Linked DNA regions of Danio rerio. The protein of the gene in region 1 purifies or fractionates together with the protein of each later gene. This does not show direct contact. Links are inferred from orthologs where the notes say so. Each region holds a gene or a part of one and is shown in the gene's direction. Other genes may lie near its edges. The genes, in order: limk2 and ttc1.

Region 1 (3,840 bases):
TTGACATTTTTTTATCCATTATGGTAGGGGCCATCAAAGCGAATGCATTGGATAGAGGTAGGTGGTCTTAAGCAAAGTTTGACACAACTGAGGGGTTGTCTAAGGGCATAGGATTATGCGTATAGGAAGGGGGCGGTGGCTGTATGTCACTTCAGATAACAGGCAGGCCCAGACACTTGCAGGTGTTACAGAAAAAGACAACACACACCCACGTCACTGCCAAGGAACGCAGACTCAACCAAGACAGTACATCGACACAAAGCAGATGAAGCACAATGAAAGCATGATCCACCACGCCTGGGCTTGGCAGAGATAGCACCAAGAGTGCACAGGAGAATTCCAGAAAGACTTTCTTGGATATCGATCAAGGCTGGGGTTCCTGGCACTGAGGATTTTCTTTTGGGATGTCCAGTGTGGGCTTTTGAAGTGAAGTCGTCAGACTGTGCAGCCGTGATCTAATCTGAACGGGGGTATTCGTATGTTTCAGGTGGCAGGAGACTATAAATACCACCCCGAATGCTTTGTGTGTTTGAGCTGCAGGGTGGTGATTGAAGATAGAGACACCTATGCCTTAGTGGAACGTACAAAACTTTACTGGTAAGTTACTTTATAGTCCTCCATTCTGTGTGCCGTACTAATTGTAGTGATGATTCCTCTGTGTTGATATCTTAGCTAGGGTGACCAGATGTCCCAGTTTTGAGAGGTGTATCCTGACAAATCACTAAAAAAATGTAAATATGTCCTAGTTTAAAATACTAGGATCACTGATTTTTATTAAGTACTCCATCTCCTTATGTAGCTACTGCCTCAGGTACCATTTATAAGGCTCAACAGGATAACATTGCAGAGAAGAGGGTTTTTGTAAGATAATTTGAAAAAAATAATAATAATAATTCGAAAACACTGTAGTTTAAGTAAAAATTTAAGTAACTAGTAACATATTACCTGTTTTTAATTTAGATGTTGTCTGTTTATTAGTACTTTATAAAGCATAATCTTATTCTACATGCCTAATCCTACCCAATACCTGAACCCATCAATCTCACCACCTATTAATAAGCAGCAAATCTGTACTTTTATTAAATCTTGACGTGTTACATGAAATATTGTATGACACTTGTGTGAACTTTTGAATGAAACTGCACTGGGCACATTTTTCCAGCACTTGGTCAGTCAGATAATGTAGGTAATTAGGTAAATGTATTTGTTTGTTATTATTTTTTAACGATAAGTGGAACCTTCCATTAAAGAAAATAAAAATAACACAGTTTAAACTAAAATTATACAAATTTGAAAACACAATCACATATTAATTGCAGACTACCCATGAAAATCATTTGTTTGAAACATCTTTAAAAGTAAATCGAAGCTTGTATGTGTGTGTATGTATTTGTGAATGTTAGATCTGGACCATACAGATAAAGTTTTTACAAATTTCATAATCATAATGCTTTAGTTCATAATCTGTTGTATATCTTCGTTTGTTGTTTCCAGTAAAAGCACAGGCAAGTTGGCGCACATCAGAGAGTTTCATAACATGTCTTGCACTTGTCAGGTCTTGTCCTGAAATCTTCTGAGAGGCTCATCAACTTCTCACTATTTCTCTCTTTTATTTTTCCTACGTCCAGTGGTAAATGCTACAAGCAGGTGGTCCTGACACCAGTGTTGGAGAAGCGGGGTTTGGCTGACTCTCCATCAGACCTGCTCCCTCACACAGTGACTCTGGTGTCCATGCCTGCTGCCACCAATGGCAAAAGAGGCTTCTCTGTCAGCGTGATTAGAGACTGCACCAGTGCCATTGCCAGCGTCCAGGTTAAAGAGTAAGTGAAGACATTAAGAATCAACATGAAAACACTTGATGCCTTGCTTAAGATCTTGATTTGAGTCCTGGTTTGGCTAGCAGTCATGTTACTGAAAAAACTCTTGGAATAAATTCTTGCTGAAGTTATTTATCACCTCAAAGATTCACTACAATGCCACCACACCCCATGCCAGAGACACTGTTAATGCCACATGGAATGTGTTGCATAACTGTGGTGATACGACTGCTCGTTTTAGATTGAGGGCCCTAACATGGCACTGTTTTTGTGTTTACTAAAACCGAAATCATAGTAAAAAAGCGATAACATTTATCTCTTCATTCTTGACCAGTCTTCTTACAATGCAAATCTCCCAAAATCTTATCCTTACAGGGTCAGAGGGATGCATATTAGTCCTGAGGTTCGGAATGCCATCCATGTTGGGGACCGAATCCTGGAGATCAATGGACTCCCAGTGACATCCCTGATAGAGGAAGAGGTACTTTCCCTTTTAACCACAACTTTAGTTTCTTTTTATGTACGGTGAAATTGTGCTCGTGGGTACGTGTTGAAGCAGTATGATTATACTGAGGAACGGCATGGTAAACGTTTATAAACTATAAACTCATACCATTGCTTGTCCCAGCACATACAGTGACACTCCTTTCATACCGGGGTAATTGCGTTTGGGTCGTGCTCTGACTTTACAATACTCCCTAGAACAGGCTGTGTTTGTTAGATGACTTTGATGTGTTTTTTTTAGTATAAGCCATATGACACGTTGCTAACTTCGTTGACATGCTTCATGTTTTGTCAAATTGAAGTTAGGCGTGTTAAGGCTACGAAAGCAATACATATATAGTTTTAGTATGAATAATATTAAGTAGTCAAGTAGGGATGCTCCGAGCTGATACTTCGATCCGATTTCAGCTTTGATACCACATTTTCTTTTGCCATATCGGGTGTCATATATTATTCTGTAATATTGTAACATACGCATAAAGAATTTATATATAATGTATAATTGATTATGTAACATACGTATAAAGAAATTATAATGTACCATTCATGAAGTAATCTGATAGTTCATGTGAGGTACAAGGAATATTCTAGTGGTTAAATTCAATTTCCCATCAGCTCTTCCCTCCGCTGAGCTTGCAGATCATTGTAATCAAATCAAATGTAAACAAGATGATTTGTTCCCATTATTATATCTAATGATCATTGGATGGATGCATATAGTTTTGCATTTAAGGAATTTATTTCAACTTGCTCTTTCTAAATCATGTCACATTCTCCTGTGTGTCTGTGTCTAGATCGCAGCACTGCAGTAGTATGGAACACTATGATCTGCTTTTTATGCACACAGTAACTGAAGTTAAAAAGAAAAGACTCAATATGTTGCAAAGATCAACAAATCATTGATGGCTTCCCTTTGTGCTCTGAATTTTTCAAAGCGGCAGCAGGTACTGGAGAGCTGCACGTTGACTGACTCCAAAATGTCATATTCTCTCATTGCTTTTCATAAACAATTTTATCTAATGTTTTACCAAAACCAAACCAAACTCTTTGTTTCTAATCCTCAGATTATCTTAAGTATAAAAACTTTAAAACGTTACAATTAAAACTGATATCAGACCAGTATCTTTTTTTGGCCAATGTTTGTTTCTAAAAACATTGTATCGGGTTATCCGTATACTCAAGCATAAGTTTAACGTTGTAATGCATACCTGTGCTGGGAGGTGTGCACATGTATACTTTTGTACTGAAGTGACTTGTCAACTTCTGTGTAAATGCTTAGCATTCTCATCGTGCATTTGTAAATGTGACTTCATTTTCCCACCATTACTCCTTAACATCTGAATTCCGCTCCTTCACTTCACTGTTTCTTTCAGGGATTTGTGCTTTAATTTAATCACATACATAGAGGTTTGGACTGACTTTCTTTGGCAGCAGTCTGCCCGCTGTAATGAGCAGCCTGAAGTCCCGTAATCCTAAAAATGGAAAATGCTGAAAAATAAAAAGTCCTAAAATTAAATCG
Region 2 (2,909 bases), on another chromosome or scaffold:
ATAGGTCCTGTACCGGAACGGTTCGATACGAATATGTGACCCATACCACCCCTAGTGGAGAACAGACTTATTTGAATTGCTGAAGCTTTTATCTCGTTATATGGTATTATCACAACATTGACATACGCTGCAAAAAAGTACAGCTAGAACAACATTGCTTTATCACATATGCATCTTCAGAGTAAACAAATGTTCCAACCAAATTAAATGATAAACATGGCTCATTAGTAAATGGATTCAAACTAACAGTGATGCATTTTGATTGCATGAATAAATCAATTGAATTCTAAATTTAAATTATTAACCATTTTGCAGATTTATGCACACTTTTGGTCTCTGCTGTATCTGCAGACCATCACTCATCTCATGGCTTTAAGATATGGTTGATCTTGTAATTGATTTATCAGAAAACAAGCATTAATCGTTTGTTAACTTTTGCATCCTGAGCTTATTACATGTTCAGAACATAAATATGTAAAACCTCACAAAAATAAGTGTAAATATGAATGTTCTACAGTTCGGCAACACTCTTATGGCTGAGAGTGCTGATATTTAGTGTGATGTTATCAGTGTTTTTAGTGCGGTATTCATTTTGAAGGTTGTCTGGAAAAATGCAACCTGTTTCATGAAGGGTTTTGCTGTTAGAAAGTTCTTGTCAGGTCCATTAATTGGTTTCTTTCAAAGAGACCTTTCAAACCAAAGAACCTTGGATTTTTTTAATGGTTGCATAAGTCATATTTGAAATCTAAAACAGTCTTTCAGACTAAAAAAGACAGAAATGACTGCAGATTTATTGTCGGGAAATAAATCAGTCCCATGAAGCATTACGAATGATAATCAAATAAAGAATGACATTGTTATCATTTTTAAAGCTTGAAACTCACAACATCTTTTAAGGCTTCTCAATTAAAAGTCCGTTTCTATTTTGCTCACATAATGCTTTCACATGGCATGGTCATCTTCCCGAAATATTACCAGCGATCCATCAGATATTTTTCCCTCTCTCTCTGTCTCATTCTCTCTCTCTGTTTAAAATTGTTGATTAAAAGCTGTCATGAAATATTTTACCTCCACACCCCATAAGATGAGACAACGCATCAGACTACAGCAGCTGGATTAGTCTAATAAGGCGCAGTACTTTTTGCAGTCAGGTCTGTTTTAGTTTGGATCATGTTTTCACCACAAACTAACTGCTCCAAGATTCATTTAAAAGCACAACGAAACCACCTCTTCAAGGAGGGTCTCGGTATGATTTTTTGGTCTGCACTTTTGCTACATTCACACCTGCCCAAACGACCGCACCAAGAGGGAAAACGAACTCTAGTGCGATTCAAGCGAACTAAATAATGCAGGTGTGAAAACACCCTAATACTCCATTAATTTCCATAAAATATATTTATTGCATTTTCATGGGATGAACAGACATTTACCTGGTTACTCATTGACCTTATGCATTTTTCTATTACTGGTTAAAGTAGTCTTTTTTTATTATTATTGTCTGGTACTTTATTAGTTTTCTCTTTTTCTCCTCAGGCAAGTTGAAGGACTTGGGCAACATGATTTTACGACCCTTTGGTCTCTCAACCTCCAACTTCCAGGTCAACCAAGACACCAACACAGGATCCTACTCCATTAATTTTGTGCAGAATCCCAATAACAACAACAGATAACAATCTGAAGTCTTTTATTCTAGTAATAAACTGCCCCTTTCAAGTATTTGTAAAACTATCTAGTCATACTCCATGTTTAAAGGTATAGTTCACTCAAAAATTCGAATTTACCCCCCTTCAAGAGTTTTTAAACCATTATGAGTTGCTTTATTGTCGAACACACACACAAACACACACAAATTAGTTTTGAATATAATATGTGCTGAAAACCTGTAACCAACTGCCATAGACAGAAAACAAATACTATGGAAGTCAATGGTTCCAGGTTTTTAGCTTTCTTCAAAATATCTCATTTTGTTTTCAACTGCAGAAACTCAAACAGTTATAGAACAAGTAAAGGGTGCGTAAATTGACAGAATTTAATTGACATTTTGAGTGAACGATCCCTTTAAACCAACTCATTCATCCATGTTAGCAGAATAAGTCGTCACAGAATAGTAACCCAAGCTGTTTTCATTGGAATAGACCAAATACATTCATCAACTCATGTCAAGTGGCTTTTGATTTTCGGCATGCCAGAGTGTTTCGTTTGCTGTGAAACTGAGCAGTGAGAATAACGGCCTTCATCTCTCCATCCAAACCTCGTGACCTGCAGTATTCAAACTCACCTGCGTTCACATTAAACCAGCTGTTATTTAACATTCCGTCTGTTGTTGTTTTTGTTTATATATAGACAACACTAATTAAAATGACAGATCACATTTAAAGTGTTGTGTCTCTTTTTGGTTTGCGTTCAGAGTTCTAAAAAGAATATACCACACAGATTAGTACAAGGCCCAAAAAAATCAGGTTTAATTTCATAAAGAGATACACATTTAATACAATAAAACAATTTTACACCCACGACCACCATCTTCATATGTATAGTCAGAGGAGCTGTCCGATTGTACTGAAACGCATCTATGTACAACAGCAAGAGTGAAAATATTCCCTTTTTACAGGCCTCGGGTTGAGTATGTGCAATGAACGGCGCCCCCTATGGCTGACAATCTGATAAAGTGCAGTGTTTCCCCAACCCTGTTTCTGGAGGCACATCAGCAGAGCATATTTTGGACGTCTCCCTTATCTGACCTATTAACATTAGGTATTGGGGACTGTTCTGATGAGTTAATTCAGGTGTGTTTGATTTGGGAGCTGATGAAAATCTGTACTGTTGGTGTGCCTTTAGGAACCGGCTTGGGAAACACTGCGATAAAGCATCGTACGATTGAGAGATCGAAAAGCTGCATTCTTATTGTA

Evidence for each region.
Region 2: the proteins of limk2 (region 1) and ttc1 purify together in Homo sapiens (affinity purification with mass spectrometry; 3 studies listed by BioGRID and IntAct, counting the BioPlex papers as one, with this or other methods). This does not show direct contact. The link is inferred for Danio rerio from reciprocal best matches to the Homo sapiens genes LIMK2 and TTC1.

What each region holds. Positions count from the first base shown.
Region 1 is NC_133180.1:21,573,960-21,577,799, forward strand, and holds part of limk2 (LIM domain kinase 2), read left to right. Parts: intron 1-27; coding exon of another isoform or gene 28-57; intron 58-487; coding exon 488-597; intron 598-1,628; coding exon 1,629-1,820; intron 1,821-2,192; coding exon 2,193-2,298; intron 2,299-3,840. UniProt on the Homo sapiens protein: Serine/threonine-protein kinase that plays an essential role in the regulation of actin filament dynamics. Acts downstream of several Rho family GTPase signal transduction pathways.
Region 2 is NC_133196.1:32,670,267-32,673,175, forward strand, and holds the end of ttc1 (tetratricopeptide repeat protein 1), read left to right. Parts: intron 1-1,533; coding exon 1,534-1,670; 3' UTR 1,671-2,309; downstream 2,310-2,909.